3 linked regions of the Coturnix japonica genome follow. The protein of the gene in region 2 purifies or fractionates together with the protein of the main gene of each other region. This does not show direct contact. Links are inferred from orthologs where the notes say so. Each region holds a gene or a part of one and is shown on either strand. Other genes may lie near its edges.

The links. Proteins that work in one complex are often made in the same cells at the same time.
Region 1: the proteins of CTNNA1 (region 2) and TES purify together in Homo sapiens (affinity purification with mass spectrometry; 3 studies listed by BioGRID and IntAct, with this or other methods). This does not show direct contact. The link is inferred for Coturnix japonica from reciprocal best matches to the Homo sapiens genes CTNNA1 and TES.
Region 3: the proteins of CTNNA1 (region 2) and CDH5 purify together in Homo sapiens (affinity purification with western blotting; 4 studies listed by BioGRID and IntAct, counting the BioPlex papers as one, with this or other methods). This does not show direct contact. The link is inferred for Coturnix japonica from reciprocal best matches to the Homo sapiens genes CTNNA1 and CDH5.

Annotation. Positions count from the first base shown.
Region 1 is NC_029516.1:22,616,829-22,620,892, forward strand, and holds the start of TES (testin), read right to left. Parts: upstream 2,809-4,064; 5' UTR 2,614-2,808; coding exon 2,587-2,613; intron 1-2,586. UniProt on the Homo sapiens protein: Scaffold protein that may play a role in cell adhesion, cell spreading and in the reorganization of the actin cytoskeleton. Plays a role in the regulation of cell proliferation. May act as a tumor suppressor. Inhibits tumor cell growth.
Region 2 is NC_029528.1:14,040,078-14,044,079, reverse strand, and holds the start of CTNNA1 (catenin alpha-1), read right to left. Parts: upstream 2,809-4,002; 5' UTR 2,674-2,808; intron 1,529-2,673; exon of another isoform or gene 1,508-1,528; intron 1-1,507. UniProt on the Homo sapiens protein: Associates with the cytoplasmic domain of a variety of cadherins. The association of catenins to cadherins produces a complex which is linked to the actin filament network, and which seems to be of primary importance for cadherins cell-adhesion properties.
Region 3 is NC_029526.1:10,029,651-10,033,843, forward strand, and holds the start of CDH5 (cadherin-5), read right to left. Parts: upstream 2,809-4,193; 5' UTR 2,794-2,808; coding exon 2,671-2,793; intron 1-2,670. UniProt on the Homo sapiens protein: Cadherins are calcium-dependent cell adhesion proteins. They preferentially interact with themselves in a homophilic manner in connecting cells; cadherins may thus contribute to the sorting of heterogeneous cell types.

The sequences.
Region 1 (4,064 bases), on a different chromosome or scaffold from region 2:
ATGGATGAGGCAGCAGTTCTTCCTGTAGTAAGACAGGTAGGTTGCCTCAGCCCTAGTGGCCTTCTACTAGGGGGGAAGCAACTCCTGTGAGATGAACTATGCTAGAATTAAGTTTTGAGGGATAAAAAAAACAAACAAAACCCACAAAAACCTGATGTGAGCACTGAAAACAAACTTTCTTGTTCCATTTTAGAAGCATGTTTTTTTAGTACAACCCTAGACTCCCAGATATAAACACACTATTCATATATCTACCTGCGTTTCTCTTAAGTACACTAACAACCCCTTGAAAGCTACTCACAGTTGTCCAAAGAGCCAGCATCTATGCTCACAACTGAAGAACAGACTGTAAAGCTCTTGAGACATGATCTCTAAGGTCCCTTCCAACCCACACAAGACTGTGATACTGTGAGACAGGGAAATCTTAAGAGTGCCACTTTGGAAACTTATCATTTTCAGGAAGAAAATGAGTTTCATTATATTACCCAGTTTTAAGTTAACAGCTGTAGGAAGGCAAAGAAGTTGTTTTACGCAATGAGTTGATGGTCTGAAACTCCATACTGAATTTGTTTCCCTCTGTCCTACGTAATCTGGAGGTTACGGACTGGTCAATTTCTAAACTCAGATTTTCAAGCTCAGAGTAACAGAATAGGAACCTAAGTGGTAACAATGTGGCAACTCCTGCTTCCTTGTTTCAATCTTGATACTTCCTATCCACCAGGCAGGCCCAGTAGTTCAGTAGTTAGTGCTTATTTTGAGTCCAACGAATGGTAGAAGTTGATACAAAATAAGAATTCAGCACACTGATTTTGTTAAAGTTGGCATTTCTGCCCAAGGTGCAGGGCAGGAAAACAGAAAGTGAGGACTGCAACCTACTGCAAGTGGCCAAAGAAGTTTGATGGGGCCATCTCCACCTGAAGACAGATTTCTCTCAAAGCGCTTTACTGGCCTCCATAAACTTGACTGAAAGCTTCCCAGAATATTCTCTCACCTCCCAAAAGAGGAAGAAAATTAGCAAATAATAATAATAAACAAGAGAAAAGTAAAATTTGGGGAAACAAGTTTCAAATAGAATTAAAAGACCTGGGTTAAAGACACTGCATAGTTGAAGTGAACTATTATTCATACATTCCTTCCAGTGTACAAAATCTGAGGAAGCTCTGATTAAGTAAATAACAGGGGTCAAAAAAGAAAGAATTTAATTTATTATAGGACATACCATTATGATAACTAAACTTCCTCATTCATCCTGGCTCTGACTCGTAACAGATCAGTGTTCTCCTGGAAAAGGAATCTCAACTAAACCATAAGAGGGAAAGAACATGATAAGGAGAGGTCAACATGGATGAGGAGGGAAATAAAAGTGGTTTTCTGAGCACATATATAGAAGAAATTCAAGAAACGTGAAGCTCTTATTAATACTGCTAAAAGACGCTCTATGATGTAGAGCTTAACAGAAAAGACAAATTAAATCCTACAGACAGCTTTCTTGGTTTCTGTTGTAGCAGCAGCTACCACAACTGTTTGACCGGATTCTGAAAAATCTTCAGGGAAGAAAAAGAAGATTGAAACACGACTGAAGAAAATTAAGAGAAGAGACAAACTTACAGCATGTGTAGTTGTCCAATAATTACGTTACAATTCAAAGCATATGTTCAGCTTCTACAAACTCCTCCAAAACTCCATCATCAGTAGAATCTCATCAACACCTCATAGCACATACTTATTCTCCTTTCAGACAGGGAAGTTCTGAGAAGGAACGCTCTATTTCCTGCATTAGTGTTAATGGAGTTTCAACAACTTCCAGTGAACAAGCTCAGTCACGCCATCACTCAGAGAAAGCTGTGACTTAAGGCAAACCTGCTTCAGTAGCATTCAGTCCTGAGGGGACCAATAGCCTTGCATTCTGTACAGCTACTCTGGCATCTGGGCCAGTTCCTAGTTTGTAATCTGGAAAAGTTTATTGAGTTTGTATACATATATACGTGCATATATGCGTGTGCACAAGCACACTTTAAAACAAGGTGCTACACTTTAATATAACAACACAGAAACACAAAATCACCCACATCTGCAACCCACGGATTTCTAAAGCATTCTCATACAAGGCTTCAACTTCCACAGTACCAGTTCTGAGACTACTTGATAAAGTTCTCACAAACGGAGCTGCTGTGCAAGCATAGCATGTAATTCACAAAAGCACAAGTGAGGATCAGGGCCGTGTCCCACAGGAGCTCAGCTTCAGAAAAGGATCCATACAACCAGGTTACTTACCAGTTTCTACAACTTACCATTCGCTGTTTGCCCACCTACCTTCCTCCACCAGGAAGGGAAGACCTTACAAGAGCTGATGGGCAGCACGACTCCAGTGCTCAGATTCAGCTCGTAGCGTTCGGATGAACACTCCAATAGCTTACACAGGGACGGCCATCGGTGTGCGGGGACACACCAGACCCAAAGTGGAAGCGGTAGCGCCCACAGGACAGGGGCTGCGGGCAGTCTCCGCTTCTCCCCTTCCCCTCTCCCTTCAGACAGAGCCGCTCCAGGCGCTGCGCAGGTAACCGAGCAGGCAGAGCCCGACCTCACCTTTTTCACTTTGCTTTCCAAGTCCATGCCGCCGTATCACCGCACACAGGGCTCGGGGCGCAGATCGAGGCAGGGAACAGCCCCCGGCCGGTATCGAGGCGGCTGAGCGGAGCCGCGGGCGACACACCGAGACCAAAGCGCCAGCACCGGTAACCGGCGCCGCCCTTCGCACTCCGCCGCGGCGCTCAAACTTCCGCTGCCCTGCGGCAGCGGCTGCAGCCGAACAAAGGCGGGGTGGCAGCCAATCTCCGCCCGCCCCCCCTCCCGTCCCCGCGCCCTCAGCCAATCCCCACCCCGCCGGTCACGGCTCCTGGGTTGTATGGAGGGTGTTTGGTGGTGCGGCCGTGCTTCTGTGGAGGGGGAGAACTGAATAGACCTGGGAATCTCCAACACTGATGGGAGAAGGAGAAAGAAAGCGAGGGGCCTTGCCTGCTCCCACAGCTGTGTGGATCCGCTTGGGTGCCCTCTCACCGCTGCAATGGTGATATCAATGGCGATATCTTCCAAGTGGATTGACTTCCACCTGGAGCGGCTGGAGGGATCTTGGCACTGCTGGGACTGATCTCATGGCGTGTTATCTCATCGTGCTGCTTTAGAGGAGTGTCTATTGTTTAGTCACGGTGCTGAGCAACATTACTTTTCTTCTGTTGGCTGCAGATGAATACTGTGATATAAAACTTGGACTTTGACCCCAGCCTTCAAATTCCCATATGTGTGATCAGTCATGGAAGGGAGCCGATAATGTAAAATGTACTTTATGTATCATGTATATACAGTATAAAATATCAGAGTGATTAAACGTTTGCAAGATTGGTTACTTCCATACATAAATGCCTTTAGATCTTTGGAAACAAATAGCAAACATTCATAGTCTTAAGTGAATGATTTAGTAGGTTGTCACTCATCTGAAGAGTCTAATCTTCTCTCTACACGCATACCAGTTGTTTTCATGCCTTACATCGTACATTTTCAGTACTTTATTTATTTTTTTTTTGTCATTTCATTACTTGTGGAGAGGTGACTGCAACAAAGGGAAAATGAGTCTGTATCTCTTTGCTGTCTGTTTACAGGTAAAAGGAAAATTCTGTTTGATTTTTCTGCTGGAACAGGTATCATGGTGCATGTATTTCTACCACAGAACCCATGAAACAAACTTTGACCAGGAAATTCACTAAAAAATTGAGAGGATATCTCAAGGTTGTATCTGAAATATTGCAGCCAGCCGGACCAAGGAGGTGATTGCCCCCCTACACTCAGCTCTGGTGAGGCCATGCCTCAAATACTGTGTTCAGTATTGGGCCCTTCACTACAAGGAAGACACTGAGGTCCTGGGGCATGCCCAAAAAAAGACAATGAAGCTGTGAAGGGTCTGAAGCATTGGAATTAAGAGAAGTGGCTGAGGGAGCTGAGATTGTCCAATCTGCCACAGAGGAGGCTTAGGGGTGACCTCATTGCTCTCCACAGCTACCTTATAGGAG
Region 2 (4,002 bases):
TTGCAGTAACTGCATTCCTCCTGTAACTCAATGAGGCACATCACTGCATCGCGCTCTGCCAGCCACTGCTGCCTTATGGCCCCACAGGTCGCTGCCAGTTGGGTTCCTCCAACAAAGGTGCTGCTGCAGTTTTTCTTTCCAGCCTCACACGTTGGATTAAAGCCATATGAAAATACAAGTAGTAACTGTCAAACATCTGCACTTCCTGGAAAGCTGTAACTCAGTTTGACCAATGCATGAGCTACATACAGTGCTACTCCTGATTAGCTATAAAGCCAAGGTAGGGTGGATTCCCAGAAGTAATAAAGAACCCAAATCCTCAAGGTTATACACACCGATGTTCTACAATGTAAGACTTCGAGTGATTTCCAGTTAAGGCACTTCAGCAGGGAACAACAACGGGCATTCAGCTTTGTGTTACATGACCTCATCTCAATATGGTATTGTGCTAACATAATATTCAGTCCTCTTTTATTCACCACGTTTCCTCTGATGTCCAAAGCCAAGAGGTGCCAGTAAAACCAACCCAGATGCAATACACCGAGTCCTTTCAGGGAGGACCATGGCCTTGTACTTCCTCACTCAATACCAACCTTACTAAGCATCCATGATGAGTCGACTGGCCATGCCATTAAATACTTCCATGAACTTAACAAACTCTCTTCATAAGAAAATAACCTTAGAAATTAAGAACTAACAGTAGATGCAACTTCAATGAAGGTCTGACATTCTACTGAAGTCTATTTCCAGCTCATAAACACTTCTACTTATGTGGATTCTTTTGCAAGATCAGTTTCTCCATCTCACAGCTGCGGGAGGAAGATATTCATGCTGCTGAAAACACACAAATTGTTTTTCTATTACATCTCTCAGTTAACTTTATCAGACCCACGGACACCCTGTGAAGCAGCTGTATATTGGTATTTGCCATTACACATGTCAGACACTGGAAATGCTGATGTTACACGAAGCTGGAGAATTTATGGAGACATAAATACTCGCTACAATATTTTAAGTCACCGTTTTGGGTGCGGGATTTCTAATCTCCACCCGCTGTGCTTCCCCCCGCCACCCTGGGTAAACTTTTAATCTCCACTGCTCTATTATTAGAGCTGGCTGGAAAAAGCTAAAGGCTGAAAGCTTGTTGTTTATTATGGAAAAGGTTAGGGCAAAGCCTTCAAAAAAAAAAACAACCAAGAACTAAATCATTGACTTTTCAGAAGAGGAACTAAGATATTTCCATTGAAAACTGTTTCTCTGAATAAAAAAATCAGTTAATGACTCAACATGAAATGATGCCCTTTCCAAAGAAAATATTTCACTACAGGAAGGAAAAACAAGTGTTAGCAAACACACAGCACCCAAAGATGGTCCAAACCGTACCCAAAGACCACGAGTTCTGTGAAGCAAACTGGCTTTCACACCATTGAAACACAAAATGACCACCCCACAGCCCAGCCCAAGGGCTGACAGGCCCCACTGAGCTGGGCAGTGTGTGAAGCCTCACCAGAGCCGGGCTGGGGATGTGCACTGGGATCCATGCAACCAGCAGAGCCTCCCCACCTCCTCCTCTTCCCTGCTCACCACGCAGGAATAACACAGGAAGCAACTCCAGCATCAGGAACAACTCTGGTTATTCAGCCCCTGTCCCAGGAAAATAAAAGGGGGGACGGGAGGGAGGGGGAAGATTGAAAAGGAAGTGGGGGGTGAGGGGAAAGAGCAATTGAATCCAGTCACCTCAGCCATGCCATGGGTGGTCACGTTGGGTGCTGGAACGAGGACACGGGCACTCCTAATGCAAACAGGGAGTGTGAGTTATTGCAGGGCATGGGGGTTATCGACTGGCAGCTCAGTCAGACACAGACATCGCCCTCTGGGTGAGGACGGGCAGACAGAAGCAGGGAATAAAGGGGGAACAAGAGAGGGGTCTGGAAGCTCTACGGGGTGTGGGGGGGTAACATGGGGGCAGACCGCAGCCAGCTCCCAGCAAGAGACACACACACCTCGCTGTGCCCACACCGGGATGCTTCACACGCGTTATGCTGAGCTCAGTGTGTGAAAGCAGAGCGCCTGGTGACCCCGGGAGGGCTGGTGTGAGCCAGCAGCTGGGGTCTGACACTCTCACCCCACGCTTTAAATAGGAGCGATGGGACACAAGTCGTGGCCGGCCAAGGACGAGCGGGGGCAGCGCCCAACGCCGCTCCCAGCTGGGGCGGACGGAGAGAACCGCGCTTAGAGCCAGGCCGCTCCCGAAGCGTCGGAACAGCCCAGGGCAGAACCGAGGAGCCGAACCGAGGAGCCGAACCGAGGAGCCATGCGGGCAGCCCGAGCCCTCGGGGAAAAGTCTCAGCGAACTCCGCGCCGCCACCGAAACTTGCCCGGACTTTGCCGGGCCCCGCCCGCCCTGATCCGGGATCACCCGAAACGGGGCACACCGACACACACAGCGCGGCCCCACAGCCCCACGACCCCACAGCCCCACGGCCGAGCCCCGCTCCCGGAACCCGGCCCAGGCCGCGCTGCCCCCGCCCCACTCGGAGCCCCACAGGCCCCGCTCCCCGCCCGCGGCCTCAGCTCCGACCGCCCCGCGGGGCCCAATGCAGCCGAGCCCGGCCCGTCCCGCCGCCAAAAGTTTCCAAGGCGCCGTTAAAGCGGCGCTAGTGCGATAGTTACCGGAGCAGGGACGAGGAGCCGCGCTGCGCCGCCGGACCCGCACCGACCCCCGGCCGCTTTGTCTGGGCCGCACCCGCTCCGTCCCGAGCAGGAAATGGGCTCTTCCGGGCGCCTCCCGCCGCCGCTCCCGCCCCGCCCGGCCGCTGTTCCCGTCACCGCCCGCCGCGCCGCCCCGCGGGCAGGTGAGGGCCCGCCATGGGGGTCAGCCCGACATGGGGGTCCCACCGCCTCCACTCGGCCCTGCACCCCTTCAGGCCCGGCTGCAGCACCCTCACATCGCCCCACACACCTCGTGCTTGGGGCAGAACCAACAATTCCAGTCACAAGCAAAAATTGTCCAGTTACCGGCCAGAGTGAGATCACAGCATGTCTGCGCTTGGGAAAGACTTTAGGGACCCCCCAGCCCACCCCCCACCAGCACTATTGCAGCCCCCAAGGGCCACATCCACACTCTCAGTGCCTGTGGGACGGGGCCTCATCGCCAGCTCCAGTGTTTTACCATCCTTTGTATGAAGAAATTATGATTATTATTGGTGTAGGGAGCCTGCTTTGGCAGGGGGGTTGGACTGGATGATCTCTAGAGATTCCAACCCCTACAATTCTGTGATTCTGTGATTATACCCAAATTAAACATCCCCTCGTGCAATGTGCTGCGTTCACCCTGCGTTTTGTCACTTGCCACAACACTGAGTGCTCCTACAGGCAGCTGTACAGAGCCAGAGGGTCACCCCAGAGCCTGCTGTGCTCCAGGCTGGACAGACAGTCTGTAAGTGCTGTTAGAAGAGCCTTGCAGGCCCCAAAGTCACAGTGTGAAGCTGCTGTCATGTCCCATGTTGGTGCTGTGGCTCCTGACTGGGACGTTACGGAGTTTAGTTGGTCTTTTGGTGTCTCATCTCAACACACAGAAGTCTGAAGCAGCATCCTTGTGCTGCTTGGTGCGGTCAGTGGCAGCTCCTGCTCTTAGGGAGCTTTTAGGAGCTGAGTGTTAGTCAATGAATGTAGATTTGTGGATGGGGAGAGATGTCTCCAAGGAGTAATGTATTTCAGAGGCTTTGAAGACAGCCAGTGACCACGTTTTCCCTGCATCAAATCACTGGTATTTTTCATAGTTTGTTTTGACATGACTTTTAATTCAAATATCTCTACAGAACTTACGCTCGTACTGGATTGTAAAAACAAATGAATAACTGTAATACATTTCATGACTCATTTGCCAGCATTTCCGAGTTACCTGAACCTATTTGCTCTGTCCTTTGATACCAATCAAAACACAGAGCTGGGCAGCCCTCAGGGAGCAGAGCATACATTGGAGCAAGGCAATTCAGCCCA
Region 3 (4,193 bases), on a different chromosome or scaffold from region 2:
AGAGATGACTAAATAGGCTGCCTTCAAAGCTGCTATTTAATAGCTGAGCTGTGGTTTGTACAGTTTTAGGGATTTATATAAAACTTTTTGAATCAGCTATTTATTTCTCTTCTGTGCATTTACTTTGGCTTTATTTTATCTTATTCCTAGAAAAAAATGAGTAAGATACAGTTGTTTTGCTTTATTTTATCCGTATATCCCAAATATTTTACAGCTGGAACTGTCAGGCACTGAATTTGATGCTGCTGTGCTCCATCTTTTGTTCATAAAGTTACAAAACATGGTAACCAAAGGAAAACCATTTGGCTAAAGTGAGCTGGTACAGTCTGTACTTCAGGAAAAACAGATGGTAGTGTTTCAGCTGCCATTTCCTCTCATTGCTGTGGTCCTGTGGGATCTCATGGATTTTTGCTGTGATGAGGTTAGCAGGTGAAACTGAGGACAGCACTGCCTGCTTGAGCTGCCATTCGTTTCACTGCAACTAATAATTTTATAGACCTGCAGAAAACATTTATAGCTCAAATGTCAAGTCTTGATTAAAGCATACTTTAAAAACCCTCTTGGATCTGTGGCTTTGTTCATCACAGTATTTCAGGGTGCCCTTTATTGGCAGCACATACAGACACTTTGGAAGCAGGGTCCTGCTGCACTCTGACTCTTACTAATAATTCAAACCTTTTTTTTTTTTTTTTTAATTTAAGCAAGGACTGTAAGTGTTCCTCCAAGTTAGCAGGGGAATGGCTTATTCAAATACTTAAACTTCTTGTTATGCTCTTAAATTTTCTTACAGCGAATGATATTTCTTCCACCAGCATTATTCATTTTATGTATTGAGTTATTTCAGAAAATAACTTGTTCTGCAGGGTACTGTAGACATTTAACTGAGAGATGCTGGTGTTCAGACTGATTTATAAGACACCTGATACGTACAGTGTAGTTTCTTCTTGCAGACTGGGAGTAATTATTAAAGAAAAATCAAGTGAAGATGCAGGTAATACTGTACTGATTGGAAATTTGCATTTTGCAGGTTATTTTAGTAAGTAATCAAACAAGTCTGATGATAAATAGTGTCCATTCAATGAAAATACATTTGATGGAATATTCTAATGAACATTTGTTGTTTTATTTTATTTTATTTTATTTTATTTTATTTTATTTTATTTTATTTTATTTTATTTTATTTTATTTTATTTTATTTTATTTTTTTTCTGGTATTTCCCTTTTACTTGGCTTAATTCTTGCTCTGAAATTACCTATTCGTGCTTATGTGAGGTTAGGTTAATTAATTACAAATCTTGTTCTATGCTTGTATGTTAAGTCAAACTTAAACCACTTTTCTACATGAAGACTTTGATAAATATGCAGACATCTGTAGCTAAACTGAGGTGTTAATCAGATTAAGGTATTCTTAGAGAGCTTTTGTTTTGTGGCATTTGTTTCCAGGCAAGACAGAAGTAATGATGTAAAATATCCTAAGAGAGGAATTTGCTTGGAAGTCACTATTATACACCAGGGAAGAAATAAGCCCTTCTTGATCCCCTGTAATAACTCTTCCCATGGTTTTTTTTTTTGTTTTTTTTGTTTTTTTTTTAAATTTAATTTTATTTTTTTTTAATTTTATTTTTTTTTAATTTTATATTCAGATAATTTGCATACCTGATTGTTATAAAAAGCTGGAAACTAAATGATTATTGATTGTTGAGCTGGAAACTTAATGATTATTTTTGTTTACAGTATCATGGTCGGAATCTGAACAGTGTAAATGAAAATGAAAAATCTCTTTTGAAATTGAGAGTTTCATCAGGGTAGAAAAAAATAAGAAAATGACTGATAAGTGAATAATACAAGACAGGTTATATTCTGTTACACAGTACTGGCAACTCCCCTCCAGGGGGAGGTCTGTATTACCACAAGTATTGTTATAAGCCTTTCCCTGTCCCCTCCCTAGGCAGCTCTGTGTGAAAATTCTGCTGAATTTGCCAACTCTTCAAAATTAGATGTTGTTCAGGTGCAAAAATTTTACTTTGATTCAATATCTGGACACTTGCTATTCTTAATGAAGCCACATTAGATTTAATGAGAGCAGGTTGACTCAACAAAACAACTTTTTTTTTGTCTAACAAAACAACTCTGCCTTACAGAGCCCAGTTTTACTGTTACTTTCTCATTTATACAATGTGTAAGACCAAATGTGAATTTCTGAATACAGTAGGCAGTAAGAAATAGAAAAGTAACCACCAAATGTAAGGAAGATAAATCATCTTTGCAGTGCCTGTAGATTAATGCATGCTATGCGTGCTTTGCAGAAGGAGCATGTTTGGTAAGCAGACAAAACTTGATTAGAAGAAAGTAGCCCTAGCAGTACTTACTGCTGCATTTCAGGGACTGCAAATGGCTGTGCTAACATGAATGGATAAAACCTTCTCAGATCTGTGAAAAGCACTGCTGCTAGATGAAAAGCTGTATCCCTTTCAAAAGGTACCTTTGAAGCACAGAGGACTTAAATTTCTTTGCCATCTCCTGTCATGGACTGAGGTCAGCACTAACAGCAGACTTGGATTTTTTTCTCCCAATTTTTTTGATCTCCTAATTAGACAACATTGCTCTAACCTGCTCTGACAAACCCGGAGAGACAAGGCAGCAAAGTAATGACACAGATAGAATTGTTACCTGCACTGCATGCTCTGAGTGGCTTCTAAATTGCAAAAAAGCAGTCCTCCTTTGCTCCAGTGAGTTTACAGGGTGAGAATAGTTAAGGACACATAGTGAGTTCAGTGGGAATGGGAACCACATCTTCAACCTTCAGTGACACATTGGGAGGTTGTGCAACATTTAACTCGGAGAGAGCATTTCTTGTTACTCTTCTTTGTGTAAATTATTCCTCTGCGCTTCTCTTGTTTCTGATTAAAGCTGTCTTGTCACATACTCTCAACAATGTACAATAATTCATTCTAAAGTGGGTCTTTCCTGAGAACATTGTGCTGCTTTTTGGTTTCCAGCTTATTGAGCTGATTTAAATGTGCCTGGTGCCTGGCTGCCTAGTATTATGGTGTTGATTGTCCTTATGTCGGCTTTATACACCTGAGAAGTGGCTTCCACTGATGACTAAACAGCCGGGAGCACAAATGCCTACCTGAAAACTGATTATAAAATGACTTTTTATATGCATGATAGTACCTTCAAGTAAATAGCCACTTTGATGACTAAACAATCTGGACTGCAAATGCCTGCCTGAAAGCTGATTATTAAATGGCATTTTATACTTGTGATAGTAGCTTTGAATGAACAGTCGCTTCAGCAGTATTTTAACCAAATGTGCAACTGCAAAAAAATCCCACATCACTCTGTATTGAGTGAGCACTGTATTCTGTATTCTCTGTATTCTTAGCACTGGAGCTCCGCAGCGGAGCTGAGGAGTTTGTTCTGTGTCTGATTTTGGCCCACAGTTTGTTACCTCATGTTTTTTTCTGAAGAAAAAAAAGCATTTTTTTTCTTTCTGTATGTTCTTTCTGATTTCAGCTCTACATTTCTGGTGAGTCTGGGGAAAATAATGATTTTTTCCATCTCTTCAGCATACCAAACAATTCTCTCTTAGGTGGTAGAAAATACAACTGCATCTGATGGTTGGATGGAGTCCTTGGGCAGGTCAGACACCTCTTCCATAGATGAAAAAATGTTTATTTGTTGTTATTTATAGTCCCTTTAAACAATAATAACCGTGAATATGGTGTGTATGTTGAAGATTCTTTTCTTTTGATTAGATAGCCCATGGTCAGCAGCGAGCAAAGGACGCCAGACTGATAGCAGGCAGCAAGACAGGGCTCCTGGTCTTTCTGTTGTTTCTGACACAGAACTAGGTAAAAATGAGGGAGGCAAGCACTGATATTGGCCTTTAAAAAAATACATATATATTATTTAAGAAACAAAGCTACCTCCACACCAGTGTGTGAATAGCTGTGAACTAAGGATGGTGAAAGCAGTAATGAAACCTACACTAATGCCCTCCCAGAGCTTCCTGACTGCTTTGCTTGCATTTCAGTAAGTGACCTGCTGACTTGGGGGTTTAAGAGCTGTGGGAAGTACAGAGGAAGGCTGTGAACTGAAAATATGGTCGAAGAGGGCATTTCCTGTAAAGTTTAGAGAAATGTGTGCAGAAGAAAGTTATAAGAGGTCACAATGATCCCCTCTGTATA